Notamacropus eugenii: one gene and its partners. The protein of the gene in region 2 interacts with the protein of the main gene of each other region in a pairwise test. Links are inferred from orthologs where the notes say so. Each region holds a gene or a part of one and is shown on either strand. Other genes may lie near its edges.

Region 1 (7,495 bases), on a different chromosome or scaffold from region 2:
AGTGACTTTGGGTAAATCATTTTCCCTCTCTAAGGCTCAGTTTCCTTCTCAGTAAAACGGTTATAATGACATTTATACCACCTATCTCTCACAGCCCTTACCTTTCTTTACAAGGAAAGAATTTGCAAACTTTAAAGAATTATGCAAATATGAGTTATCACTATTATTATTTGAGCATCTAGTAAAGTCTTAATAAATGCTTGTTCATTCAGGGATAGGTTGTGGACAGATTTGTTGTGTCCTTAGGAGGCCAGGGCAGAAGTGTTGATCTCCTTCCAGTTCCTCCAAAGAAGGGGTCATAAAGAGTAGGGCTACCAATATGATGTTTCTTCCTTCTAGAGCATTCTCCCCCACCCCCCACCCCCAACCCCACCCCCCCCAACCTCCACCCCACCACCCACCCTTCAGAGACTGCTACTGAGAAATGAGCAGTAAGGCATGGAAAACCTTAGTTAGGTCCCTGGGGCCGGAACTGCCTCAAGTAGCCTGCCTAATGTTTTCTTTCATCCCCCAAACCTTAGAGGCTTCAAGGGCTGGTCAGGGATAGGTTGTGGGGTCACCCAAGATCCAGGGAGCTTACGAGTCCTGAGAAAGTGGGTCTCTCAGCTCTCCAAGAGAGCTGGAGGCTGGCTGGTACCCACTCCCTTCCTGTCTCCATCGGGATCTGTCCCCTCTCTGTCCTTCCCAAGCATATCTCCCATCCAGTCTTTGCTTCTTATTTCCCATTTCCCTCATCTTCCATCTCCTTAACCCTTGTTATACTTCCCCTTAAAAAAGGTGTTGACACGTTTTGTTTTTATGTGGGCTTCATTTCCAAATGTGTCCCTTTCCCCTCCCCTCCCCAGACTGATATTCTTTTGCAACAAAGAATCAAAAAGGAGAGAAAATAGCATTTCAGAGGAACTAACCAACACATGGACTGAGTCTGACTGTATGCATTATTACAGACCCATAGTCCCTCATCTCTGCAAAGAAAGAATGTTCATTTTCTCATCTCTTCTCTCAGAACAAGCTTAGTCATAGTGAGTTACATGCTGCCTTGCATCCTATTGCCCTCCCCCCTTCTCCCCAGCCCCCAATCTCCTTCTGCCCCTGCTTCACCTTATTTCTCTCCTCTTCTGCTTCTCCTAATCCCATTTGAGTTTTCCTAACCACTTCTCTTTGCCAATCTTGTCCAGGGAGCTGGGGAGATCCCAAAGGAAGAGAACAGACTCGACTGGGTCAGGAGGGATGGATGGGATCCTCAAATCTAATTGGGATGGAATGCTACTCACCTTCTCAGCCCGAACCTCAATCTGGTTGTTGGATGTGGTGACGATGATGTCTTCTGGAGAAAAGTCACTCACGTCCACTGCAAACTGGTAGGAATCTCCCAGGGTCTTGATGTTGCCTGTACCCCCAGATCGAACTGCTGTGGCAGGGGTTGGGGATGGGGAATAGGAGATGAACTGATTTTCAGTCCTGTGTGTGAGGAGGCTGATTCTGCCTTTCTTTTCCCAAATACCCATTAGATGATCAATAGAATGCTAGAGCTGGAAGAGACTTTGGAGATGATCTAATGCAGCCCCTTCATTTTACAGATGAAGAAACTGAGGCACAGAGCTGAAGGACTTGCCTGATTAGAACTCAGGTCCTCTTTCTGACTCCCAATCCAGCGCTTTTTCCATTACACCATGGCATCTGGGTTTTTTCCCATTCCAGAGTGATTACAGGAGACAGCTCCTCCAGTCCTGGGCCCCACATGTCTCAGCTGTAGCCCCTCCCCATCTTCTCCTTTCCTAGTTTTTCCTCTACCTCTAAAACCTGATACATCTCTCCATCCCTCCCACCCCAGCCAGGCCACCTTCAGACTAGCAGCAGTGAGTATTCTCTGAACACCTCCCCCCCCAAGCTCCCATCATTCCAAGGAATCAATACTTTGGAATCCTGAGCACCCGGCTTTGAATCTCTTTCTGCCATCTGTGTGACCTTGAGCAAGTCACCTAAACTGGGTCTCAGTTTCCTCATCTGTGAAATGAGGGAATTGGTCCTGATGGCTTCTGAGGTTCCTTCTAGCTCTGGATCTAGGATCCCAGGTTCCTTCCTAGTCAGTTGGGATGCTTTCTTCACTTCAAATTCCCACTCATTTCCCTGAGTTCCCTCTAGGCCAGAACTGATCATAGGGTTAGAGATGGAAGAGGCTTTAGAGGTCATCTAGTCCAACCTTCTCATTTTACAGGTGAGGAAACTGAGGCCCAAGAGGTTAAGTGACTTGCCCAAGGCAACGCAGAAATCAACAGAACCAGGAATTCAAACAAGGTCTTCTGACTTTGGCTAAACAATAACAAAGAATCCCATTTATGCTGCTGGGTCACAGCTGATTCTCAGGACTACACTTATCTGTTGTATCCACACCGATCCTTTGTAGGCAAGGCTTTCCCCTTTGTCCACTTCTACTCTTGTGAGCACACCTGCCCCACCCAAGCTCCCACAGCACCTGCTGCCAGAGGAATTGGCTACAACAGGCTTTTGGAACCAATAGAGTCCTGGATTCAGGCACACCCGTATGCCCCTGTCTCCCTCCCAGCTGTGCCAAAGAGACTACGCTCCCCAGATTGCCTGTCTTCTCTCCCTTCTATCCCAACTTGCCTGGAAAGCCCAAAGGCTCAGTGTGGGGCCGCATGAAGCTGCCAAAATCCTCAGAAAACAAGCTGAGAGTCTTCTCCATGGGCAGGTCCCGAGTAGGGGGGTTATGGGAGGCTGAGGAGGATGAAGAAGATGAGGAAGAGTGGAAACTGTGTTCCGCTCGGAAGGTAGAGGAGGTCTTGTGGCTCATTCACTAGGTGGGGGAGGGCTCTGTCCCAGAAACCGCAAGGAGACCCAGCAGGACAGGCGGGCTGGTCTAAGGGAGTGCTTGGGGCCCTGGTGATTGGGGCTTTATAAGGCCCTCAGCCGCCCCCCAGGCTCTGGGCCAGCCCTCTTGTCCACTGGCTAAATATAGGTTTCTGGCAGGCAGTAGCAGGATGGAGGAGGGGGGTTGGCGGGCTGCTGGGTGGGGACGTGGGGGGTAGAAGGTTTTCCCGCTGAGATGTTGGTGCTGACATTCCAGACAAACCAAAGCAGGGACTGAAGCTGAGCTCATCCAGAAGCATTCCAGTCCTGCTGATAACAGGAGGAGGCTGTGAAAGGGGCAGAAGGGAAGATGGAGGAATCAAAGGATGTGTTTATGTGATGGCACTGGGGACTTGTTTAGGATGACAAGAAAGAGGAGGATGAGGAGGAGGGAGAGAAGGAAAGGAAGAGGGAGAATGGGAAATAGGAGGGATGGAGGTACTGGACCAGGAGCAACCTTCCATGAGGGTCTGTTTAGGAAAGGGAGAAGGAGAAGTAGGAGGGAGAGAGGGGGAGGAGAGAGAGAAGAAAAAGGGAGAGGAGAGGAACTGGAGAAGAAAGAGAAGGGAAAGAGAGACTGAGATGGAGGGAGAGAAGGAGGAGATGGAAATGAGGTAGTCCCTTCAGCACTTTCAGACACAGGGTGTACCAGGTATTTCCTTTTGTTGATTTGTGACTGGAAATATGACCTAACCCATCAGACCTAAGATTATCTCCCACCATCACTCAGGTTCCCTAAAGTCAAGGACTTTCCCCTTTAAGACTTGAGGGGATTCTTGGGGGCAGGGACTATATCTCTCCCCTTAGACTGAGGGCTCCCCAAGGTTAGGGACTGTGTTTCCGCCATGAGCCTTAGGGCTCCCTGAGGGCAAGGATAGTGTTCTCCCCTGAGATTAGAGGACTCCCATCAGTTGCTATCCTATAGGGATAGCCAAACAACTAGAAAAAAAAAAGTTTGCCTCCATTTTCTCACCTGATACTCACTTCTCGGATCATTACAATCTGGCATGACACCTCATCACTTAACAAACATAATCTCATTATTATTAATGGCTTTGCTTTTTCTAAAGATAAATGGTCATTTCTGTCTTATCTTCCTTGACCTCTCTGGAGCATGTGACACCATTGCCCCTCTCCTGCTCCTAGATACTCCTTTTCTGAGTTTTTATGACCCTGCTCTCCCTTGATATTACCTGGTCTACCTGTCTATCTGTTCCTTCTCAGCTTCCTTTACAGAATTACCATCCTCATTTCACCCCTTAGGCATGGATATATTCCAGGGTTCTATTCTGGGTTCTCCTTCCTTTCTTTTCTATACTGCCTCCTGTTGATCTTATCTCTCCATGGACTGGACTCTTTTTTTCTATGCAGATCTATCCAGCCATCGCTAACCACTTATGGGCATTTTAAGGTCAACATGTCCAAAACAGAACTCAACTTTCTTACAAATCCGTACCCTCTTCCTAACTTCCTGATTTCTGTTAAGGAATCCTTTCAGTATCCCAGGATTATAACTTCAGTTATCCTTTACCCTTTCTTCTCTCTCATCCCTCATATCCAATCAACTGTCAAGTCTTTGTTTTTTTTTTACTTTGGCAAAATTTCTTGCATCTACCCTTTTCTCTTCATCCTAATTCAGGCTCTTGTAATCTCTCATCTGGACTTTTGCAGCAGACTTTTAACTCTTCTCTCTGCCTCCAGTCTCTTCCCTCTCTGACCTATCCTTCACACAGCTATCAAAATGTATAATCTGCCTGAAAGTGAGGTGGGAGCTAGGGAGGAGGGGGCTTGAAAAAGTAAAATGGGAGGCAACAAGAAGTCACTGAAATTTTTTGAGGAGGGGAATAACATGGCCAGACCTACACTTCAGGAATATTAATTTGGCAGTTCTGTAAAGTTAGATTGGAGAGGGAAAGGACTGACTACCTGAAAACCAGTTGGCATAACTGTTGCAATAGTGCAGGTGAAAAGTACTGAGGACTTTAATCAGGATGTGGGAGTAGAAAAAAATTAGGAATAGTTATAAGTTATGAAGGTAGAATTAACCAAGACTTGGCAGCTGATCTGGAGGGTGTAATGAATGAAGAGTCAGAATGACTCTTAAGTTCCTAACTGGAATGACTGGAAGGATGAGGATGATACCCTTGACAGAAATGGGGAAGTTAGGAGTAATCAAGAAAAAAATGAATTTCAACCAAAAGTAAGCATCATATGCAATGGGGATACACTAGAATCTTTTCCAGTAATTACGGAAGTAAAGCAAGGATGCTAACTCTCCCCACTATTATTTGCTATAGTTCTGAAAATGATAGTCATGGCAATAAGGTAAGAGAAAAAAATGAAGGCGTAAAGATAGATAAAGAGGAGATAAAGCTATCCTCACTTGCTGATGACATTGTTTACTTGAAAATCCCTAGATAACAAGCAACAAAACTAATTCAGACAATTAATAGGTTTGGCAAAGTTGCAGACTACCAAAAAAATTTTCAAAAATCTGCTGCATTTCTATATGATAATTACAAAATCCAAGGAGAAATAAGAAAGGAAAATAGCTACAAGATGCATAAAAACTTGGGGATCCATGCACCAAAGCCCACAAAAGATTGTATAGGTTTAATTACAAAGTGTTCTTTAAAGAAATAAAGAATAACTTAAGGAACTGGAGGAATATCAGTAGACATGGTTGGATTGTACTAATGTTGTTGTTGTTTGTTCTTGAAGAAGATCATGACACCAGGGAGGTGAGGCCATGACATGCAAGTGAATTGGATTTAAATGGAGGAGGGCTATGCAGAGTCACTAGCCTTGCTTTCTTTTCTGGAACTGTTTAGGTCCAGTGGCCAGATATATGTACCAATATAGTAAAAATGACAATGCCACCAAAGTTCGTTTTCAATTTTAATGCTAAGCCAATTGAATTTCCAAAGGGATACTTTACAGAATTTAGTAAAATACTAATGAAATTCATTTGTAAAAATAAAATATCTAGAATATCTAGAGAAATTATGAAAAGTGATAGGGATGAAGGAAGAAGAGTATGTTCAAATCTCAAAGTATATTAAAAACAAGTCATCAAAGCTATCTGAAATTGGTTCAAAAACAGAGAGATAGATTAGTGGAAGACACTTTAAAAAGGGGGACCGGAAACAATGGGAATCAAATACCCATTTTGGGGGGGAAAAAGAATTTTCCATTCGATGAAAACTGCTGGAAAAAACTGGAAAGGAATCTGACAGAAATTGAATTTAGACTAATACCTTATGCCTTGTTTCACAATAAATTTGAAATAGGTACACAACTATAATATTAAAGATCATACCATAAAAAATTAGAAAAGAAACAAATCAGGTACCTCTCATCGATACAGTCAGGAGGTGTATTCTCAACTGAACAAGGGACATGAGGCAACTACAAAGGATAAAATAGATAACTTTGATTTTACACGAAACTGAAAAGCTTTGAACAGACAAAATTAATGCACCTAGAATAAAAAGCAAAGCAGTCAAAAGGGGGAAAAATCTTTGTATCAAATTTCTCTGATAAGAGTCTGGTATCCAAGAGATAGTTATATCTGTGTGTAATCTACATAATATACACATAACATTCCCTATACACACATATATAGGTACGTACATGTGCATATATGTCACTAAAAGTCATTCCTTCAATAAATCAATGGTCAAAAGATATCAACAAACATTTCTCAAAAGAATTACAAAATATTAACAACTACATGAAAGAGTGCTCTTAATCACTAATAATAAGAGGAATGAAAATCAAAACTATGGGTTTCAGCTCACATCCTGCAAACTGGAAAGGATAACAAAGGATGTGAATAGTCAAGTCAATGTTTGAGGGTTTGTGGTAAGAGAGGCACACCAATGCATTGTTGATGGAGTTGCAAATGCATACAACCATTTTGGAAAGCAATATTGGAATCATGCAAATAAAGTGACTAAAATGCCCATAAACTTTGATCAAGCAGTTCTGTAAGTAGGTTAATACCTTGAGAGGGCCATTGATAAAAAGAAAATCCCTACATACACCAAAATATTTATTTAAAAAAACTCTTTTTTGTGATAATAAAGAATTAGAAACAAAGTAGATGCCTATTGACTGGAGACTGACTAAGTAACAAATTGTACGTGAAGATAATGAAATATGACTGAGCTATAAGAAATAATGAAATGAACGTAATAGAGAGACACATGGTAAGATCTACATGAATTGATACAGAGTAAAGTCAGAAAGAACAAAGAAACAACATACATAACGACGGCAACAATAAACAGGAAAAACAACACACATACATAATCCAAAGTAAAGGTTGCAACATTATAAAGGACATGTTGTTCAGTCATTTCAGTCATGTCTGACTCTTCATGACTCCATTTGGGGACTTTTTGGCAGGGATACTGGAAAAGTTTGCCATTTTCTTCTCTAGCTCATTTTACTGATGAAGAATTGAAGTAAACAAGGTTAAGTGACTTGCCCAGGGTCACACAGCTAATAAATGTCTGAGGCCAGATTTGTACTCAGGAAGATGAGTCTTCCCAACTCCAGGCCTGATGCTCCATCTACTACTGTGGCACTAAGGAAGAGAAATGAGAAAGCACCCCCACTC
Region 2 (7,981 bases):
GATTATCTGATGTCTCCGTTATAGCAACACTGTTAGGTTGATTATTTCCTAAGTATAGAATTATGAAATGAAGTTGGCTAGGGCAAATTTAGTGAGGGATGTCTATACAATCATTATGGAGATCCGCTATTTCCCTTGTTAGTGGTGTAGAGTTGAGTTTAAGTAACCACACCTTCCTTGATACCTACAAGACTTCTACAAATATTTAAGTAACTGCAATTTAATATTGAATCACCAAGTCATCCAAAGAAATTCCAAATTAGTCTTCTGAAAGTTTCCAAATAGACTGAGTATGTCTATGCATTTAAAACAACTTTGGAAGAAAGCTAATGGTATTTCACTGAGTTCATAGTATTCAGTATTAAGGATTCCTCATACAGACAAGATATATCTCCTATGTTCAAGGAGATGAGGATTAATAAGTAAACTAAAACACGTTTAGGGAGAATTGATTTCAATCAGGAAAGATGGGTTTTCAGTAAGGCTGTGAAAAGGTAAAATATGGTTAACAAATGGAAGCACATTCTATAGGATGAAGAATCTATCAAGTCCTAGAGCAGAGATGTCCTCAGTTGTTTTGTTTTTTCAACAGTGGGTCACATGGTCAAAAATCTATGTATGTATGTCTGATTTATTCATTTCCAATACTGGTAAAGAGAGACAGAAGAAGAGATAGTCAGTCTTGAAGCCAAGAATACCTGGATATAAATTCTGTCTCTAACACACTTACTTTGTGAATCTAGGCAACTCTATTATACTCTTATGTTTCAGAGAAGGTGTCTACCCGCTTTAAGAGAAGGCATTTTCTCACACAGGAGTTCATGATATCAATGAAATCAAAGGTCTCTTCTAGTCCTCAACAATAATAATAGTAAAGTTCAGCCTGTTATCTATACAAAAAAATATGGATTTACAGCAGTAATACAAAAACAATCTTATTCATTAGAAAGCATGGCATTACAGGCCTTGTCCCAGTCATTGCCCAATTTTTTTCAAGTTAGTGTGAATATTTGTATTTAACTCTTTAAAACTGAGCTGTACTTAGTAAGGACATCACCATTCAGACTCCTGGTATTCATCACTGATGGCCCTCTTTTAGCTTTGATTTCATCCATTTCATGGAAAAGACAGAGGGACACAAATACTATCAGGACTTGATTAAGAAATGCCATTGTGGCTATGCCCTATTGACATACTAATTCATGTAATTAGGTTTTTTAAAAGTTCTCAATCATTTCACTCCAGGATCTGGCATCCTACCTTTGGTCTTTCAACTGAGCATCTTAGGAAAAGGGTCTGCATTTAAAGAAGGGGCTCTAATACTTGGTAGCTGATTTTCATACTACTGTGGACACAAATCTTGAAGCAATTGGACAGAGTGAAAAGGGAAAAAACTATTAAGTGTATTTAACACACAGAGTGACAAGAGTTTCAAAGGTCAATCATTTCATTCCACAACCTTCTAAATATAACTACTGTGAGATACTAAGATTCAGTTAAAGATAACACATACACGAAAAAAGAGCAAACAATTTCATTCTCAAAACTCTGGTGAACTGCAACACATTTCTGATCAAAATGATGCCTTAAAAAAATTTTCATTCAGTACATCAGGTTGTGTAGAACAATGGAAAGAGCAATGGTTATGGAATTAGAGGACCTAAATTAAAATTCTGCCTTCCGTCTTTGAGACTTTGGGCAAGCTGCAACCTTCCCAGGTCAGCTTCTTCATCTGTAAAATGAGGAGTTGGACCAGATCCAGATGGCTTCTTCCCCTACTTTCCATGTCTCTATGACCACTTGTTTCTTAGGGATTATTTCTAAGGATACTTAAATCCTTAAGTGTTATTACCCTATTTAAATATCCTATTTCAGTTGGGTTTTTTTTTATTTTTAAGCAAATTGGTGACTGATGGTAAGTATCGTTTAATACAAAGGTAATGTTTAATATAGTTTTATCCCATCGTTGTCAGCGCCTTCCGAAGGAAAAATTAACCCAGGGTTTCGTAATGCTGAATAACCTCAACTCCCTATAAAGAGACCAAAGGCCACAACAGGGGCAAATATACTGAACTAGGAATGCGGTACACACGCAGCTCCCAGAACTAGTGAAAAATTACTTGTCGGTGTTTAACTCGCTTCACTTTATTTCGAGGACGACAGGTCTACACATGCTGATTTTTTTGTCTAAATGTCTTTAGGCTATCTCCGACTGTATAAGAAAAAACCCAACTATCATTTTAACGTAATTTGCAATAATATGCAGCAAAAATATACAGGTAATGTCCCTGGTTAATCGCAATCTGTACGCTCCTCTACAGTCAAACGTACAACAGGAATAGGGCAGAGCCTGGCAAACAACACCCTGAGTTTTAAAAGCCTCCAAAGAAATCAAGTCGGGGAACCACCATCGGCCTCGGAGAGACCCCGGGGCGCCAACGAGCCGACTCCTGGACGGAGGCGTCCGCCCCCCCGCCCCGGCCACGCCGGGGCCACTTCTTTCCGACCCGGCTGAGATCGGCTCCCCGGCCTCGGGTCCCGGGGCGCGCGCTCGGGCCTCCACCGCGGGGAGCCGGAGGTCCGGGGCCGGACCCGAGGCGCCGAGGTGGGTTAGGGAGGGCGGAAGCCTCGGTGGCCGACCCCCTCCCCTCGGCCCGTGGTCCCCGGCCCCACGACAGGCAGGGCTCCCGCGCGCCCGACCCGAGGCGCGGCGAGGGAGCCGGGAGCCCCGTTTTCCCCAGACCCCAACATGGCGTCGGCCGACACCGCCGCCGCCGCCGCCCGGGAGGGGGGAGGACCACGGCTCCCCGCGCCGGAGGAAGAGCTCGGAAAGTTTCTCTTCGCGGCCGCCGGAGGCACCTACCCGGCCGGACGCCCGGCGGCAGTCAGCGAGGCTCGAAAGCTTCCCGGTAGCAGGGGCTGAGAGCGGCCGGCGGCTGGCGGCGTCCCCGCCCGGCCGCCCTCCCCCGGGAGCAGCGCGAGCCCTTCTCCGACGGTGCGAGGGGCTTCCGCGGAGGAGGAGGAGGCGCCGCAGCCGCCGCCCGGGCCCCCGCTCGAAGCCGACCCCGATCCGGACCCGCCGAGCCAGGAGCGCAGCGGGCGGCCCTTCGTTCACAGGTGACTCTTCACAGCCTCTCCCAAGACTCCCCCGCCCCCCGCCGCCGCCGCCGCCGCCACCTCCTTCTCCAGTCAACTACGGCCTCAACCGCCTCCTCCACAGCGGCGCGTGCGCGACAACTTCAGAGCACACCCACCCCGCCCTCGAGGCGCGGGGGGCGGGGCGAGCCGCGGAGTCCCCGCCCACCCCTAGGCCTGCAAAGGGTGGGGTTGGACGAGAGCGAGGAAGGGAGGGTCCCGACGCCATTTGGGGCGGGGCTTGTGCCTTTCTTCCTAACGTAGGTGGTGTGCCGGTGGGTCTCCTGGTACCGCCTGTAAAAGCGATAGTAGAAGGTGCCCTGGCCGAGCGTGGGGCCCAGGCCTAGTGCGCCACAGACCCTGGCACACAGTGGGCACTTCATGGAGCCGCGGCGCCCGCCGCCCGGAAGCCTGGAGATCGAGTCCTGTCTCGGGCACCTTCTGGCTGCGGCGCGGCGGGCCGCGCGTCAACCCTTCCTCAGTTTCCTCCTTTGTAAAACCCGGGACCGATCATAATAGCTCCTACCTTCCAAGGCTGGTAGGGGGATACAATGAGGTATTAAAGCGCTGCGGAAAGGATGGTTAGTACCAGGATACGTTCTCTTTGAAAAGGGGAGGCAAGAAAGGAAAGCCTGCGCCCTGGGCGGCGTGCTGTGCCCGAGGGGTGCCTGGCACACATAAATGCCTACCTGGTCACAGGTCGGACCTGCTCGCTGTTTATGGAACCTGGTGCCTTTGGGCACGTGGGTTAGCCTTTCTTTCTCTGGGTCCTCATCTGTTTGTCTGCCAAATCAGTTCCTGGGCTGTTGTGGCCCACGGGGCTTTCTTGGCAGAGATACTGGAGTGGTTTGCCATTTCCTTCTACAGCTCATTCTATAGATGGGGAACCTGAGATGGGGTCACACAGCTAGTAAGTGTCTTTGGCTGAATCTGAACTCAGGTCTTCTGCCTCCAGGCCAGGTGCCCTGCATACTGTGCCACCTCCTTGCCCTTAGGTGTTCCCCCAAATGAAAAATATTGGCCTGCAGAAGGAAAGGAAGGTATTGACTCCTGCAAAGGTCTTGTAGAAAGAGGTTCTCACATGCCTTGGTCATTTCTTCTCCTTTCTCCACATTAATGGGCGATCCAGAGATGGGAGCGGGCCCTTTTAGGGCCTTTTCCATTTGCTGATTCAGTGAAATGACAAAGTTAAGTGGAAAGTGGTCTGGATATGGAGGGAGAAAGGCCTGGGTTCAAATTCTAACTCTGCTACTTACCTCTGTGGCCTTAAGTGAGTCACTTAGTCTTGGCCTCACTTTTCTTATCTGTAAAATGAAGGGATTGGAGAAAAACCAGGCGTTATATTTAAATAATTGACTTGTGCCCCCACCTTTCATTTCACCTGTATTAGGGAGGGACCTCCTTGGGGAAAAACTTCTACCAATGCATATCAGCCCTTGTTCTGTAACGTTGGTGATACAAGGACACTCTCAAGTGTGAACTGGAATTGATTGTGGGACATGGGAGACACTGGCACAGGAGCGCTCAGCATGGTATGCCCGCACCAGAAAGGGTGCTGTGCTGCATGAGCAAAGCAGAATTGAAGTAACTCAAAGGAAACATAGGATGTGCAAATTTGGAGTATCCACCCCAAATATTCACACGGGATATCTGTGGTAGAGCGTTCCCAGCTAGTATTGGTCTGATCAGCCACAGAAACTTGACTTTATCATGATGGTGTCATTTTGGTCCTCTTCAAGAATCAATCAGAGTTGTGTTTGAATTCAGGTCTTCCTCCAGTATGATCTCCATCCAGGATACAGCCACGCTGCTTCAAAGCAGTCGTAAATCTTATAAAATGTTTTCTGGTCTCAACTAACCTCTTTTCCTCACCCGAAAAATATAATGCCATTTGTATTATTCATTGTTAAACCATTTAGGAACTGAGTTGATTCATTCAACAAGCTTTGACTGAGCTCCACTGTAATAGGTAAATACCAAGGAAATACATAAAAATACCTCAAGGAATTTACTATTGAGCCGGAGAAACTAAAATATATACAATTAACTTCATTAATTCATTCAATAACATTTATTAAGCATTTACTCCGAGCCAGACACTGTGCATATAAAGACAAAAATGGAACAGAACCTCGCCTTGAAAAGCTTATATTTTCTTGAAGGAAACAAGACGTACTCAGCAATAAATACAGAATGTACTGCATCACTGACTCACCACTGCAGGCCATAGAAACCTCTTCACACTAGAAGCAGCCTCCATCCCTATGTCCTCATCTGCTGATTGGCCAGTTCCTCTCAGAACCACCAATATAAAGAAGAGATTCAGGCCAAAAATGTCTTCATCCCCTCTTCAGGCTGCACTCACATCCACTGGACATTTTCTACCATGCATCCCGGGATTCCTTCTTCTCCCGTTCCAGCTCCCTTTTATGTGTTGTCTTCCTCTATTGGAACACTCCTTGAGAAGCAGGGACTCTGGTTTTATTTGCATTTCCATCACTCAGCGCAGTGCTAGGCACATAATAAGCATGAAATGTTTGTTGACTGACTTACTAAAAACAAAGCAATTGGTGGGGGAAAGGACAGTAGCACTCAGAGGAATCTGGCTATGTGGGCTAGGGGGTGGCACAGGCTGAGCCTTTAAAGCCACTAAGGACTCCAAGATTTAGAATAAGGGTAGAGTTCCTGGCATAAATCAAAGTGTTCAAGTAATGAATAGGCCAGTTTGATCTGAATCTAAAGTATGTGAAGGGATTAATGTAAAGTAAGAGGTAGGGTAGAGTCGAAATGTCAAGGGCTTTGTATTTTATCCTAGAGTCAAGAGGGAACCACAAGAGTTTCTTCAGCATTGGATTGAAACCATCAGACTTATGGTTTAGAAATATCAGTTTGGCAGCTTTGTGGCTAATGGGGTAGTAACAGAGAGAGATTGGAAGCAAGACTAGTTAGGAGGCTATCAAAATAGTCCATGGAACCATAAGTGTAAGTGGAGAGGAGATACATCCAAGATGCTATGGAGGTAGAATCAACAAGGCATAATGAGAATAATCAAAAGAAGAGATAATGTTTGTGGTATTTACTGTGTGCCAGGCACTGTGCTATGTACTTTATAATTATCATTTGATCTTTACAACAACCCTGGGAGGTAAGTGCTATTATTATCCCTATTTTGCAGATGAGGAATCAGAGATAAGCAGAAGTTAGTGATTTACCCAGGATCATATAAGTTAGTGTCTGAGGTCAGATTTGAACTCAGTTCTTCCTAACTCCAGCATGGGCCACACTAATGGGATATCAGGTGTGAGGGAAACTGAAAAACCAAAGGTACTTCCAAGGTTTTCAAGCTGGATAACGGAACTACTTATAGAACTAAGGAAGTTAGGAAGAGTAGGTTTGGGGAAAATAATGAGTTTTGGTCTGGACATGTAAAGTTTGAGATTCAGTTCCATTTCATAAACACTATACAAAGCACTAAGGATACAAATAAGAACTCCTCTATTTCATTGAAATTCTGTTTTTTCCCCTGAAGTACTACACTCAGTTTTTCTGGGTAGATGTTTCTTGGTTTTAATCCTAGCTTTTTTTGACCTCTGGAACATCATATTCCAAGCCCTTTGATCACTTACTGTAGAAGCTGCTATGTTATCCAGATTGAATTTCCACAATACTTGAATTGTTTATTTCTGACTACTGGTAATATTTTCTCCTTGACCTGGGAACTCTGGAATTTGGCTACAATATTCCTAGGAGTTTTCCTTTTGGAATCTCTTTCAGGAGGTGATCAGTGAATTCTTTCTTTTTTCTTTTTCTTTTTTTTAATGTTCATTATTTTTAGTTTTCAACATTCCTTTCCACAAAATTTTGAGTTCCAAATTGTCTCCCCATCTCTCCCCTCCCTCACCCCAAAATGCCGTGCATTCTGATTACCCCTTCCCCAATCTGCCCTCCCTTCTATCACACCTCTCCCTTCCCTTATCCTCATCTTCTGTCTTGTCTTGTAGGGCAAGATAGATTTCAATATCCCATTATCTATATTTCTTATTTCCCATTTGCATGCAAAAACAATTCTCAACATTCATTCCTAAAACTTTCAGTTCCAACTTTTCTCCCTTCCTACTTCCCTACCCATCCCCACTGTGAAGGCAGGCAATTCGATATAGGCTATACATGTACAGCTTTGCAAAAGACTTCCATAATCGTCATGTTGTGTAAGTCTAACTATATTTCCCTCGATCCTATCCTGCCTTCCATTTATTCTCTCTTTTAACCTTGTTCCTCCCCAAAAGTATTTGCTTCTAATTACTCCCTCCTCCCATTTGCCCTCCCATCTATCATCCCCCAACCCCATTTATCCCCTTCTCCTCTACTTTCCTGTAGTGTAAGATAGATTTTCATACCAAATTGAGTGTGCATGTTATTCCCTCTTTAAACCAAGTGTGATAAGAGTAAGCTTCACTTTTTCCCTCTCACCTCCTCCCATTTCCCCTCCATTGAAAAAGCCTTTTCTTGCCTCTTTTATGAGAGATAATTTGCCCCATTTCTCCCTTTCTGCTCCCAATATATTCCTCTCTCACCCCTTAATTTTATTTTTTTAGGTATCATCCCTTCCTATTCAACTCACTCTGTGCCCTCTATCTATATATCTGTGTGTGTGTGTCTGTGTGTGTATAATCTCTCCAACTACCCAAATACTGAGAAAAGTTTCAAGAGTTACAAATATTGTCTTTCCATGTAGGAATGTAAACATTCAACTTTAGTAAGTTCCTTATGATTTCTCCTTCCTGTTTACCTTTTCATGCTTCTCCTGATTCTTGTGTTTGAAAGTTACATTTTCTATTCAGCTCTG
Region 3 (6,887 bases), on a different chromosome or scaffold from region 2:
TCAGAAAAGGAAATGGCCCCTGAGCTGAGTCATGAAGGAAGCTAGGGATTCTAAAAGCCAGAGGGGAGGAGGGAGGGCATTCCAGGGTCATGTGGAGATGGGAGATGGCACCAAATTGAGGGATCAGTAAAGAGTCCAGTTTGGCGGAAGGGAGTCAAACTACAGGGTCTATGGTTGGACCTGTGCCTTGGTCAGTGGTGTAGAGGGTAGAGAGGACAGAGACTCGATGCCAGGTGAGGGGTTACCAGGGCCTGGATTATGAGTGGAGACAATGAGCTGGAGGCAGACAGGCTGAGAGGGAAGGAACAGAAGAATGGAAATGCACATCTGGAGGCCAGGGACAGTGACTGGCAGACAGATGTTCATCTGCCACAAAATCAGCCAGTCCATAGCCCTTTGCAGAGATAACTCCCTCCTCCCCCTCAAGTATTCCATTTCATTTCTGGGGGTCCTCAGGCCTAGCCTAGAGCATGGCCCATCAGAAGGCAGCTATTACTTAACAGCCAGAGATGGGATTCCAAGTCAGGCTAATACTCTACTTGGGGTTCATCCGTGGGGAGGCTAAAGCGCTCACCAAGCAGAGCGACTGGCAGGGAAGAGCAGGGGTCTGGGGAGGGGCAGACATTTAAGGCCTGGGCACAGCCCCTGTCTGTCAATCCTGGCCAAATGTGGAGTGTCTGACCACCAGGTCAGCTCACAGAGGGCCCTGGGAGACCGTGGATGGAGCCACTCCCCTGCCTGGCATCTCAGGGATCTGGGATCAAACTCTGCTTTTGTCATCCACTACTTGTGTGATTGGGTCAGTCCTTCAGCTCTCCACAGGTCTCTCCACAGAATAAGGAGCTAAATGGTCTTGAAGGCCCCTTCTGACCCTAGGATTACTCCCACTAAAAACCACCTGCTAGGCCATGAAGGGAAGAAAACCTTGGCAAGGCCGGGAGGGTCAGGGAAGGAAGGTCCCCTCAGAGAAAGCCATCTTTTTACACAAAGGTCAGGGAAGGAGCAAAGGCACAAGCCAGCAGAGGCATCCAAAGCACCACCAGGAGAGGAAAACAAAGGGGGCTCCAGAGAGCTGGCTGGGGAGATGGAGGAGGAAGGAGGAAAGCCAGTCCCAGCGCCCCAAATGCTGAGTCTTGTGATGACTCAACTTCTCCTGTAAAAGGGGGACAAGCCCAGCTTTGTAAAGCGATTTAGGGCCTCTACGTAGAGATGACCAGGGTCAGCCTGGAAGATGCTCCCAAATTGGACTTCTAAAATCTCATCCAACTATTCACTGACAGTGTCTGAAGGTTTCCCAAGTGTTTTACATGTTTTCTCACTTGATTCTCACAGCCACCCTGGGAAAGAGGTGCTCTATATACCCATTATACATAGAGAAACTGAGGCAAGCAGAGGTGAAGTGACAGACACAGTCATTAAAAGTCTAAGGCAGGACATAAATTTAGGTCAATCAATAAATATTCATGAAACACATTCATGAAATAAATATCATGAAACATAGTAATGTGCCAAGCCCTGTGCTAAGCCCCAGGGATACAAAAAGTGGTAAATGACAGGCCTTACCTTCAAGGAGCTTACTGTCTAATGGGGGAGACACTGCGCAAACACATGGCCCCAAGTGCCATGCCACTAGCCCCCCTCTCACCCCCCAAACTCACTCCCTGGTCTCTCTTTTCCCAGCAGATCGCCAGGCTCCGGCCTCTGCCTCCTCTCCGCTCAACCTGCTGCTCTCTCCAAAGTTACAGCCCTGCTGTCCTCTTCTCATCCTTCACCCTCTGGAGCCCCCCTGCTCTCCTCTCACCTTCTAGGCCAGCTCTCAGTCCCTCACCCCAAGACACTCTCCTGCTTCCTTTCTGTGGGTTCCATCCCCACGCAGAAGGCTCCTGGGTCTGCGCCCTGACCTCTCCTGAGCTCCAGGCCTGCCCAACAAGGTGAATCCGATGCTGGACACTGGACACCCCTGCCCAGCCCCGGCCAGGTGGGTGGCCTCTCCCCCATGGCCCTCCTCTTCAGGGCTTGGCCCCCCACCCCCAGTGACCCCTCGGTGACTGGCCCCTCCCGTCTCTGCCCCTTCCAATCCCCCCCCACGGGTACCCTGGTGAAATCCCTGGGGCAGGGCTGACCCTTCCGGCCCTCCCTTCACACACTTTCCCGTCCAGCCGGAGGGGCCGCGCCGGGCACCAGCTCCCATGCCCGCCCTCCTCCCACCCAGGCAGCTCCCCGAGAACCCACCTCGGGCTCCCACGGAGGACACGCTGCTGCGGTGGGAGCGCTCCGCCGGCCCCGGGGGCCCCGACCCCGCCTCGCCTCCGTCCATCTGCAGAGAGAGGGCCCAGGATGAGCGGCACCGTGTGGTGCCTACTGCGGGCCGGGCACTGCTGAGCGCTGACAACTGCCACCGCGGGGAGGGGCTGCACCCACGGGCCGGGGCCACATTCGGGCCGGGGCTTCCTGGCCCCCCCTCGGGAGCTACTTCCCGAGTTATGGGGGGGCAGAAGTGGCAGGGAGGGGGCTGGGGGAAGGAGGGTCAATGCCAGGCTGGGGGGCTCTCAAAGAGCCTTTGGGGAGGATGGAGGGGGGCCGGGCTGAGGGGGGGGGTGAGGACGGGGGCGGGGGTAGGAGCGGGACCGGAGCGAGGCTGAGGAGGGGGCGGGGGGGGGGGGAGCGGGACCGGAGCGAGGCTGAGGACCCGGGGCGGGGGGGGGTGGTGGTGGGGGCCGGGAGTCAGAGCGAGGCTTTGGAGAGCGGGGCGGGGGGGACCAGAGGGAGGGTCGCGCAGGGATGTCAGGGCTAGGCGGAGGCGGAGAGGGCAGGGGGGAGCCAGCTCCGACACCAAGAAGCTGCGGGGCGAGGGCCCCCGCCCCAGGACGGTCTCCCCCACCCGCTCTGGCCCCGGAATCTCACCCCAAATTGGACCGGGCGGCTTCGGGTATACGGAAGGCACTGGAGCAGGAAGCGCCAAGCCCCACGGTTCCCGCCCCCTCGGCCCGAGAGAGCCAATAGGAGGTCAGAGATGTGGCGCATGCGCATCTCTCTGGCGCCTTCGAGAATGTTGGGCCCCACCCCCTTAGGCCTCCCACGTGGTTCTGCCCGCGGGGCACTTTGGGTGTTGGAGTGCTGTCTTTGGTCTGGAGCCTGTTAGAACTCCACTGGACCAGGAGCGCTTTCTTTTTCGTTCTGGGTTTTCTCAGCACCTGTGTTGCAGTCGCTAGAGCGCCTGAGTGTGATAGAGCTGTGTGACCCTGGACAAGTCACTTCACCCTGTTTGCCTCAGTTTCTTCATCTTTTAAATGAGCTGGAGAAGGAAATGGTAAACCACTCCAGGATCTCTTCCAAGAAAACCCCAAAGGGGTCAGTAATGAAACATCAGAAGGCTGAAGAACTGCAGTTATTGGAGCCCAAGGAATATTTATCAGCTGCCTGCGTTCCCTCCCTGAGCTGCCGTTCCCTGGTGTCCAGGTGAAGGAGCATGGTGAAGCCCAACTATGGGGCCTGGGAGTCAGATGTCCTGGCCTTGGCCTGCTGGATGGCCAAAGCACCATTCATGGCAGGGGCCAGGCAGGTTTGCCACGGAATGACTCGCTCCAGGGCTGCAAGTCCTGTAACACTGCAGGCTCTCAAGTATCACATAGAAGACAATGAAGAGGCATAGAGTGGCCAGGCTACAAGGTAGGACCACGAATGCCAAAGAGGAGCCAGAGTCAAGGATCTCACCGAAGGAATCTATCACCTCAGAGTCAGATGAGCTGGTCATGGGGCAAGGGTGAGAGTTGCCTGATGGGCTCCCCCAGTGCCCCAGCAATATCAGGAGAAGGCAAGGAAGCCTACCCAAAGACCTATCCACCTTGTGTCCAACTCTTTGAAGGACATGGACAAGTATTAGCCAAGCCCTGTTTACATAAAGCTAGAAGGAGCACCCACATCAGTGAGAGTATACAATGGGTCATTGTTTAGGTAGGACTTTGACTGATATCTCCTTGACTAGCTGGGTGACTCTGGGAGGCTTGGAAAGATACTGCAAATGGTGAATGAGCTAGGGCCAGAGCTGAAGGAGAGGACGGGAGTAGTCTGGATTGCTTTTCAGAAATTACACAATGCTTTCACAATCCCAAACTGCCTCCGACAGATAAACACAACTAAATCTTAACATGAATATTCTGGGGATGCAAATCATAGAAAAGCAGAATCTCCAAAGAATTGAATTATGGGTGACCCAAAAGATGTATGGTAAGAAATATGTAGGATGTAACATATAACCAGTTATATTGCCATATGACTTAGGCACAGGTAGTTGTACAAAAGGCATACATTTCCTGGCTGATGATCAGAAATGAAGATGAACTGATGTACCCATGAGGGCTAGGGTGAGAGATGCATAACCCACATTATGCTTGAACAGCCACAAGATGCTGAAAGACCTAGAGGAAGACTTCTAATGCATTGGGTAGATCTTCCATGGAAGATTTCTGAGAAGATATGGTCAAGACTCACATAGGATTAAAAAAAAAAGCATAGATGAGAGCAAAGGGATAAGAAGTCAAAGGAGATGAATGGTTTTCCAAAGAATTGCATGCCATCACCCACCATATGAAAGACCTCCAAGACACTAAAAATAAGAAAAATTTAAGTTAATCTGAAATTTCACTTCATACCTCTCAAGATAGGAAAGATGATCAAAGACAGCAATGCTGAAGAGCTCTGGGAAGGCAGATATCTGAATATAGTGCATCAGTATCATCATTATGGGAAATAATTTTTAATTGTGTGAGAAAAATCACCCAACTGTTAATACCTTATGACCTAGTGATTGTCCGGGTCCAAAGATTTGTTCAAAGCAAAGAAAGCCCTTAATAAATATTGATTTATTCATTGACTACTACTGAACTTCGGAAGTTTAAAAACAGACAGTCCGCACATGCACCAAGGTATTCAGAGCAGCCCTTTCCTTGATAACTAGAAACAAGAAAGCAAGCGTCTGTCAACTGGGAGAAGACGAACAGGCAAGCCCATGTCATTTCTGTTCCTGTTCCATGTTCCTGTTTCCCCACATGTGATGTAAGGACCTCTTTAGCTGTTCAGGAAGGATCTGAATTGTTCCAGCATATTGATGGTCAAGAAACAGGAATCTTGGAAACATGGGGCAAGAGACCGAGTCACTCCTGCCTGGAAGCTACCGGCTGCATTAGATGAACCTCTGTCCTCCTTCCACAGTACAAGCTGTTCTGTCTACTAGCTTCCCCTAGTGGATGGGTGGGCCCTGAGGAAATACCAAGGGGTTGGAGGATCCTGGTCTTTGTTCTCAGCTCCCTACCAGCTTGAGAGATCTCAGTGTAGACACTGAGCTACTTCACCAAACAAGCTGTGAGGTAAGTGGTGTCTTCAGAGGCAGGATGAAGTCAGTCAACCCCAAGGGAAGCCAAGCGTGGGAAAGTCCTAGATACCAGCCTTTAACTAAGAAGAGGCAGCAGCTCCCTTAGTGGGAATAAAGCTCTATGAAGGAGAACCCTCGGGGTTGGGGATTAGGAGAAGGTTTAGAAGTGGGCCCATTCTTCTACCCATGAATACGAGAGCTTTGTTCCTTCTTGTTTGTCCTTCTGTCTTAAAGACTCACTGTCCTAAGGGGGAGTGGGGGGGGGGGGTGTAAGCAGGGAGGAACTGGTGAGGGCAGGGCTGGACCCCAGGACCCCAGAGACCATCTAGTCCTAGGGTTTGTAACTTGTTTGTGTCATGGACTCCTCTGGTAGCTTGGAGAAGCCTTTCTCAGAATCATGTTTTTAAATGCATATATATGTATACATATATATGTAATATACATACAGACTGTGTAGGATTACCGAGGAGACCTATTATATTTGAAGTGTTTTAATTATTTTCACAAGTTCAGGGGTCCCAGGTCAAAAACCCTTGATCGAGTCCAACTCCGTCATTTTATAGATGAGGTAAGAGGCCCAAAGAGACTAAACAATTCACCCAGAATCCCAGCTAGTAAGTGGAAGAGTCAGAATTCGAACCTGGGTCTTCTAACTTCCCCATTCAGCCAGTGCTCTGGTTCTCAGGGCCAGTTCAAGCATTCAGCAGAGTTCTGATGGAGACCTAACTTCCCTCCCTTCCCAGTGTGTACCAGGTGAAGGGGATAAGACCTCCGTGGAGCCTGTGATGATGGGGAAGACAGTGTCCTCCAGGGCTTCGTAGGACAATAATAGTATTCCCAGCTCATGTTCATAAAGTTGCTTTTAGTTTTTCCCAGCAGTTTATCCACATTGGCTCATTTCAGTCTCATAACATTCTTGGGGGCAGGGGAGGTCTTATTCTATAGGTATAATCCTTCATGCCCTTTTTGTATCAGATATAAATGGCTCACTGTGATTTGATCACAGTCACACAGTAAACCAGACAGACCGTGGACTCTGGTCTTCCCGAATCCACATCTAGGTCTCTATCCTATCACGATTCATCCATCCCTGCTGTTCTTAAGCACATATCTGACCAGGTCACTCTGTGCTGAAACACAAGCAGACCTCACAGAGGAATCCCGAGTGTCTCTCCTTCGCCCATTCTTCATTCAGGTCAAATTGGCCTTTTTGCTATTCCACATTCCCAGGGTTTCATCTCTCTCCACATCCCTCACAACTCCCTTCTCGAACCTTTCTCTTCCTTGGAAGCTCAGCTCCAGGGCCACCTCCTCTAGGAAGCTGCCCTGGCTTCTCCTAGCTACTAATGCCCTCCTTCATGAAATGACTAGTTTGCATTTCCTTCTGCGTAAACCCCTTGATTAGAAGAGAAGGTGGGTTGATGTGTGGTGAGGGCAAGGGATGGCAGGTGGAGAGCTGGAGTCCATTAGAAGAAGCTGGATGGCCTGATTCTGTCCCTTACAACCTGGATGGTTT
Region 4 (7,881 bases), on a different chromosome or scaffold from region 2:
TAGGGGGAGGGGAGTTTGCAAAGAGGAAGACTATAAAGCAGCATTCTACAACTAGGTTTTCGAAGGACCTTCAATTTTCAGAAATGGGGATTTCTATAATCTACAGTCATAATTAATGGCCAATTTCTCCTTCCCTGGATGTGAGAACTTAAATTTATATCAGATTCATACACTGTTAGGACTAGAAAAATTAGACATCTTATTAACGTTCAAAGGCATCTGCTGAGAATTTGGAAATCAAGGGGAGGAACACTTTTAACACAATGCCCCTTAGAACTGAACCCACACACTGCCCAAGTGATCCCCCAAACTGCACCCCTAGGATCACTGTGTATAGCTAACTCAGCTGGTGTGAACAGGACACAAATTCTGGGACCTAAAGGGCTATGTAGCTAATGTCTCTGGCATTTTACTAGAGATAAAGTATGCCAGTAAAAACATTTTCAACCACATGAAAGACAAAAAAATAAATTTAAAAGTCAAGCTTACTCAAAGTAACTAGGCCCATACTACCAATTTACAGGCTGAATTTTTGCTTCAGGCAATATGAAAGCAGAGGTGTGCTCTTTAAGCAACTCATTTCTGCCAAACAAAGGTTTAAGTGTGAATCTACTTCCAAGGGTGGGGCTAGGGATAGCAGAGAAGCCAAAGTGTCTAAGGGTTTGGGGATTTTAGGTTTAGACCTTAGCCTCAGTAAGGTTTCAGGGTGCTTTCTTCAGAACAGGGGCTATTTTAACTTTTGCAGCCCCCAATACCTAGTACATTATGCTGTATCCAGCAGAAGACTAAATAAATATTTCCTGCTCTTGATGTTGCAGGAGCCAAACAAGGCATTATTAATGGTAACCTAGTCAAAACCCTAAACACAGCCATAATCCAGGCAGAGACTGGTGTCCAATTCTCCCTGGATTTGATAGACAACAATATTTATCTATCTGAAGGTCAAGGGAAAAGAAAACTAAACTCATGCCCCCATGGAATCACCTACCTTAGTCATGTCAAGGGGATCAGGCACAACAAACATTCCGGGTGGAGGCTCCTTATAAATGGACATGATGTCCCTGTATAACAACAAAGGTGAAGTAGGGGTAAAGGTGGGAAAGCCCTTGTGCAAAGCAGTTGCTGATATCAATGGTAGAGGAGTCAGAGCTAAGTGCTTGGTACCACAAGTGTTTTTGCATTGGCTCACAGGCCAGATATTCTCGGGTTGGATACAGGGGAAGGAAGCAGAAATTCAAGTGTTATCAGAAGGGGCACTATTTCATGAGAGGGAGGTGAGAAGAAGGAAAATGGGATATCACAATGGTATCAGAAATCAGTGTGAAAAACACCTTATTAACATGACAATTCATTTACTGCACACTACCAAATATTTCCAGATGCAAAAAAATTCAGGACGAATTGTAAATAAAATGACCAACTAAAAAAAGCAAATTCAAATGTAACGAAATGCAACTAATTCAAAAGATACACAAGTATATGACTGCTTACTTTACAACAAAAATGTGTAGAAGAGAATCTTCCTAGGACGTGGGGTGAGGGATGAGGTTTGACAAAAGTTTGTGCAAGAAACAGCCCAATGTAATGAAACACACTGATTTATCTTTAGGAAGGAATGGGGGGGAGGGGACGAGGAATTTGCTTTTTGGAGGTTACCGGGAGTTATACACTAGGAAGATTAAATACAAAGACTTCTACAAGTGGCTCCTTGGGCCTCATTCCAGAACTAGGGGCAGTTGAGGTTAATGCCAAGACGCAACATCCCCGGTGAAACATGCCTAACTGGGAAGGAACCAGAAATCACTAAAATAAAGATTTAGTCCAAACAGTACAGAAAGCTAGGGCGCAGAAATATAAAAAAAGGTAGCTGGGGGTTGGATTAAGAAGTTACGAAGGTTGGGAAAGGAAAATGAATTTCTAAGGTTGGGAGGGACATTTTCATCCGTAGAATAAAAGGTCTTTATGCGGCATCAACTTACAGGGTACCGAGCCTAGGGATTTCTGGATAACTGGGCTAGAGCTGGCCAGGGAAAGAGGAGGGCAGAAGCAATCGTTTAACGGGACAAAAAAGTTTCAGGACCGGAGGCTGTCCTCCAGGAACAAAGGTTGTAGTCCCTTTCTGTGGTATATACCTGCTGTAAGGGAATTGAAGATCCAGGAAAAAAGAAAAGTGCGGGATGGGGTAGGGGGATGGCTAAGGGACAGAAAGGAGGGGGGAGAAGACTTGAGGAGAAAGAGGGGCGAAGGGAAGACAGCATGGGGTGGCGAAGAGGGAACGGGGCAAGGGAAGGATGTTGTGGAGAAGAGGGGAAGGTTAGAAGAAAAGAAAGGGCGAGTAGGAGGGAGGGATGTTGGAGAGAAGAAATGAAGGAAAAGTTAGGGCTGGAGAAAGATTTGGGGGGGCAGGAAGGAAAAAGGGGAGATTTTGGAGAGAGGGAGAAGAAATGGGAGAATTTGCGGAGGGGGCTGAGAACGAAGGGGGGAGGACAAAAAGGGAGGATCGGAAATGGGAGAGCCTGGGCGAGGGGCTCGGGAGGCCCCCGGGCCGGGGCCGGGGCCGGGCCGGGCCGGGCGGGCGAGGAGCGGCGGCTGCGGCGGGCCGGGCCGGGCGGGCCCTCGCTCGGCCGCACTCACCGCTTGATCCGCAGCAGGCACTGCGGCGCGGCGCGCTCGCTGTCCCAGTCCGAGCTCAGCGTCGGGTCCCAGAAGGCCGAGTGACTGAGCAGCGCGGCCCCGTGGGCAGCGGCCGAGGGCGGGAGCCCGGGCAGTGGGGCCAGGCCTCCCCCTGGCCCGCCGGTACCGCCCGCCGCCGCCGCCGCCGCCCACACGTCGGGTAGGAAGTGCGGCCCGAAGCCGCCGCCGCCGCCGCCCGCGCCCGGGCCCGGGGTCCCCGCTGCCTCGGCCCCGGCAGTCGCCGCCTCCTCGGTCGGACTCTCCGCCATCGCCGCTCCGCTTCCGGGACTCCACGCCAACGAGTCCGCCGGCCAGAGCGGCCGCTCCCTCCGCCTCCTCCCCCACACCACCGAGAGCCGGGCCAGAGTGTCCCACCCTCCGCTTCCCCGGCCGGGTCCCACAGACTCCGCCCAGCCCCAACCAGCGAGAAGCACGGGGCAAGAGTGTCCACCCGAGGTCCTCCAGGACGGGAGGGGCGGAGGGACGGAGGGCTCCGAGCTGGGCTGGGGCGCTTCTTTGGCTCTCCCGGGATTAAGACCCGGGAATGCAGTCCCTGGGAGGGGGAAGGAGGGATCAGCACCTTTGTATCCATTGAAGTGGAAGGAAAATGCCTGCAGACCAGAGCTAGCCCTCCAGCTTTCCCCAAAAGGAAGACCAATCTTTGGCACCCTTCTGGATCTCAGTTTCCATATCTGTAAAATGGGGCGATTGGGTCAAATTATCTCTAAGGCCCCTTCCAATTCTTATGATATTTATGATCTAATAATTATAATCTTATGATTCTAAGATATTTTTAATGGGGATCGGAAGAGAGAATGGGGGAGGATTGGAGATTTATATCCCACTTCACCACCACCACCCCCCACACCCCATCTCTCTTAGGTATCTCTAAGTGGGATGCACTCTTATCTACTATGGCAGGATAAAGATCTAGTTGTCTGCAGGGTAGGACTGTGGGTGGGATTTCTGGGGACCCTTACTCAGTACCTCCTCTCTTCTCTTTGTAACCCTCCCTCCACGTTAGCTCATCAGTGTGCTCTCTTAAAAATAGTAATTCATATTTGTATACAAAGGGCTGGCTGTCTTCACTATCACCCTCTCAGGTAAAGGAAGTTACCAGTCTTATTCTTCTAAAGAACTACTGAGACTCGGTTAAGTAAATAAGACTCTGGAAGATAACTGGTTCTTGGTATCAGAGGCTGGAATTCTGGATTTGAATCTTCTGACTCCAAATCTTAGTCTTCTGACTCCAGGAAGTGTTCTTTTTATTCCACAGGCTCCCAGCTCTAGGTATCTTGAATGCGTGCCACTGGGGACAAGGTTGACTGGGTAAAGGCAGGTGGATTGTTCAGTGGGACCCTTCCCCACACATTCTTGGAAGAAAAACTTAGTAGCTACCAGAACCCTGAGTAAGTAGAACTGACACCTAGTAAGGACTGTTTCTCAACTGCTGAATGAAAATGTAGTAGCTCACATCCTGTCCACCTTTGATTTCTCCTTGGCCTGGGGTCTTCCCTGCAACTTGAATCCAAGCTTTTTAGGAGTCTGTCCATTCTCCCTACCATTCCGGTTGGCTCTCTAGAGGACTCCTCCAAGCCAGGGTTTCTATGGGAAGGCTTGAACATCTCAGGGAAATTCTCAAGAAAAAGCCTACTGGAATTCAGAGTTGACAGCCATTTCACTGGGTGAAGTCTTTTGGGGCTCCTGGCAAGCCTCTGAAACAGCTGCCCAGCCCTTTAAGAACCGGATTAGTTTAGCCGGGAGCTAAATCCTTTTCTGACCTTTCTTAGGTACAGCCTACTGTAACTCCTTGGAAACCTGACTAAAGGGTAAATATAAAAGGTTACCTCTTCCTAGAGCCACAGTTCACCGGTGAATGACACCAGTGAAAATTCTTAAGACACAAGCTTAGACACACTTGCTTAAACTTTGTCTGATGTTAAAGAAATCCCTGGCTAGGGCCCCTGCTCCGAATACCAAGCCACTGCTCAGGAGTCCAAGGGTCTCTGTTACTACCTTCCATTTCACTACTCCCAATATCCTCTATAAAAAGACAAAACTCAGGTAACCCCCTACAAGGCCTCTGTACTCCTCTGCCTTAAAGGATAACCTCCTAGTCCCTGATCAGGCATATTTCTTATCCTTATGTAAATATTTATAAAAATTAAAATAAAATTTTGTTGATTTTTTTTTTTACATTACCTTCATTTTCCCAATATTATCCTCCCCTTCCTTTGATAGGCATCCTGGTGTATTGAATATAGCTCTGATCTTGACATCTGGGAAAACTTGGGCTTGATCACATACTTACTAGTTGTATGACCCTGGGAAAGTCACCTAACCCTGATTGCTTCCAATAAAAAAAAAACCCTAAGGTTAGAAGGGACATCTAAGTTCCCTTCAGGCTCGAAATCTATGATTCTTATAATAAAAAATAGAAAAAAAAATTTTAGCGAAGGTGACCAAAAAGGATTGTAAGGTTCATACCCATTATCCTCTACTTTTATAAGGAGGGGGCAGGAAAGTGCCTTCTCATAGATCCTCATCTACACTGTGAGCTCCAATCCTTCCATCCTTACTGCTCTACCAGGTGATCACCCCTGAACTAGCACTTCACTCTCCTGCTTTCCCCATCTTCACCCCTTGGTGAACAAGTTCAACTCTATGTTGTCCTCTTTCCTTGGGTTCTTTGCCCCCCCATGCAGGGGGCCAGTCTTGGCTCAACCAAATCTAAGATTGAGCTCCCTCTTCCAAGTCCTGCTTTCACTCTTACACATAGGCTGCTGAACAAAGGTGGAGAACATCACAATGCCTTACTAAGTCCGCTACAAATTTGTTACATAACTTCAGCTGGGTCCTTAATGCTGCAAGGCAATCCTTTTCCTCTTCCCTGATTAACTCACTATCCCACTCACCACAGTGGCTTTTCCAAACCTTTTCATTTCTTCTTAAATCTCTCATTACTCTTCCTCCCTAAATCTTCTTAGCTGAAAACCTCGCCTCATATTTTACTGAAAAACATTGAGGACATTGACCAAGAGCTCACTCTTCTCTCCTCCTCTTCCTCCTTATCTCATATTACTCAGATGCTTTCTGCCACTATCTCCTCCTTCACCCCTGTTTCACATGAAAAACTAGCATTTTTCCTTGCCAAGGCTTATACTTCTAAATGCATAAGTGATCCCATTCCATCCTGTTTCCAGTAGATTGCCTCCCTTATCCTTACTCTCTCATTTTTATCTCCAAACTCTCCCTATCTACTGATACCTTCCCTATTACCTACAAATATGCCCATGTCTCCCCCATCCTCAAAAAACTTTCATTTGATCCATCCATCCCCACTATTGCCCTATGCCTCTCTTGCCTTTTGTAGCTAAATTCATTGAGAACGCCTTCTACAACGGATGCCTCTACTTCTCTCGCTCTCAACTCTTTCTACAATCAGGCTTCCAATCTCCTCATTCAATCTTTAGCTAAAACTGCTCTCCTCAAAGTTATGTGATGGGTATAATCTGAAATAACCAAGGAAACAAAGTTTAAGCTTCTGAACATATCAACTTATTTAATAATGCATGCCAATTGCATGAATCAGGACCAGGCCTCCTCAGCTTGGCACTGAACCCCAAATACAGGAGAAAAGAGATTTTTATACATTAAGAGAAAATAATTAAAAGGATGTAAACCAGGATCCAAACCTGGGTGTCACCTTCAACTCCTCCCACTCTCTTACCCCCCATATCTAGTCTGTTGCCATGGCTTGTAGATTTTACCTTTGTAACATTTCTTCCATATAACTCTGACACTGCTACCTCCTTCTCTCCCTGCTGACACTGATACCACCCTGGTTCAGGTCCTATGCCCAGATTATTTCCATAGCTTGCTGGTTGGTTTCCCTGCCACAAGTATCTCCCCACCCCGATCCATCCTCTACTTAGTTGTCAAAATGATGTCCCTAAAGCGCAGGTCTGACCAAGTCACCACCAATCAATAAACTCCAGTGGTTTTCTATCACCTCCAGGATCAAATAGAAAATCTTCTATTTGACATTCAAAACCATTCATAACCTGCCCCCTTCTTGCCTTTCTAGTCTTCTTATGACTCACTATACCTCCTCCATATACTCTTGAAACTAATGACATTGACCTCATTGCTGTTCCATCTTTCCATCTCTCCACTCAGGGCATTTTCACTGGATGTCCCCCATGCCTGGAATGCTGCCTCCCCTCATCTCCCCTTTCCTTCAGGTCCCAGCTAAAACTTCACCTTCTATAGGAAGCCATCCCCAATCTCTCTTAAATCTAGTGCCTTTCTGCTACTGATTATTTCCAATTTTCCTATATGTCACTTGTTCGTACATAGTTGCTTCTGTGTTGCCTCACGTTAGACTGAACTCCTCAAGGGCAGGGATTGCCTTTTGTCTTTTTGCACACTGCCTAGCATATAGTGAATTTTATTGATTGATTTTCATTTGGGTCCAAGCTTGGTTATTAGAATTTCACAATATTTAATTCAGATTGTTTTGTTGTCATTCCTTCTATTTAAGTTGTTGTCCTTGTGTATAATCTGGTTCTGCTTACTTCACTTTGCAACAGTTCATGTGTATCTTCCCATGCTCCTCTGCATTCATGTTCATTGTTGATTACAATTCAGTATTATTACATTAAATTACATTTGTGTCCCACGGTTTGCTTAGCCATCCTGCAATCACTGGACATCTACATTATTTCCAGTTCTTGGCTACTACAAAAAGTGCTGCTACAATATTGTGAAAGTGAATAACTGTGAAAGATTTAAACACAATGACCAAGCATAGCTTAATTCCCAAAGACTGACAAGGAGTCATATTTCCTACCTATTGACAGAGAGGTGGTGGGCTAGAGGTAGAGAAGGCAACTTACATTTTTTAACATGGTCAATATATTGATTTATTTTTCTTGGCTATAGTTGTTACAAAAGAGAGCTTTTCTGTGTGGGTACAGAAGAGGGCTTTTTTGTGTGGGAGGTAGTGATAGTGATACCAATAAAAGGAAAAAGAAAAGAGCATCTATTAAATATTTTAAAATACTCAGACAAAAACAGGTCAAAGTTCACAAAGAGACATTGACAAGCAGCATAAATTCACAATTAAAATTTTTTAGCTAAAAAATTTTGAAGTTTTTTTTTTTTAGAACTTTCATAAATATCTTGGTGCATATAAAGACGTTTTTT

Evidence for each region.
Region 1: the proteins of PLEKHF2 (region 2) and HSPB7 interact in binary tests that used the Homo sapiens proteins (3 or more experiments, as listed by UniProt). The two-hybrid records come from large-scale screens. The link is inferred for Notamacropus eugenii from reciprocal best matches to the Homo sapiens genes PLEKHF2 and HSPB7.
Region 3: the proteins of PLEKHF2 (region 2) and FRMD8 interact in binary tests that used the Homo sapiens proteins (3 or more experiments, as listed by UniProt). The two-hybrid records come from large-scale screens. The link is inferred for Notamacropus eugenii from reciprocal best matches to the Homo sapiens genes PLEKHF2 and FRMD8.
Region 4: the proteins of PLEKHF2 (region 2) and UBE2Z interact in binary tests that used the Homo sapiens proteins (3 or more experiments, as listed by UniProt). The two-hybrid records come from large-scale screens. The link is inferred for Notamacropus eugenii from reciprocal best matches to the Homo sapiens genes PLEKHF2 and UBE2Z.

The regions. Positions count from the first base shown.
Region 1 is NC_092876.1:55,464,847-55,472,341, forward strand, and holds the start of HSPB7 (heat shock protein beta-7), read right to left. Parts: upstream 3,012-7,495; 5' UTR 2,816-3,011; coding exon 2,629-2,815; intron 1,412-2,628; coding exon 1,275-1,411; intron 1-1,274.
Region 2 is NC_092875.1:157,846,290-157,854,270, forward strand, and holds the start of PLEKHF2 (pleckstrin homology domain-containing family F member 2), read right to left. Parts: upstream 3,003-7,981; 5' UTR 2,864-3,002; intron 1-2,863. UniProt on the Homo sapiens protein: May play a role in early endosome fusion upstream of RAB5, hence regulating receptor trafficking and fluid-phase transport. Enhances cellular sensitivity to TNF-induced apoptosis.
Region 3 is NC_092873.1:18,166,261-18,173,147, reverse strand, and holds the start of FRMD8 (FERM domain-containing protein 8), read right to left. Parts: upstream 3,007-6,887; 5' UTR 2,905-3,006; intron 2,318-2,904; coding exon 2,233-2,317; intron 1-2,232. UniProt on the Homo sapiens protein: Promotes the cell surface stability of iRhom1/RHBDF1 and iRhom2/RHBDF2 and prevents their degradation via the endolysosomal pathway. By acting on iRhoms, involved in ADAM17-mediated shedding of TNF, amphiregulin/AREG, HBEGF and TGFA from the cell surface.
Region 4 is NC_092873.1:352,110,304-352,118,184, forward strand, and holds the start of UBE2Z (ubiquitin-conjugating enzyme E2 Z), read right to left. Parts: upstream 3,006-7,881; 5' UTR 2,943-3,005; coding exon 2,635-2,942; intron 1,062-2,634; coding exon 989-1,061; intron 1-988. UniProt on the Homo sapiens protein: Catalyzes the covalent attachment of ubiquitin to other proteins. Specific substrate for UBA6, not charged with ubiquitin by UBE1. May be involved in apoptosis regulation.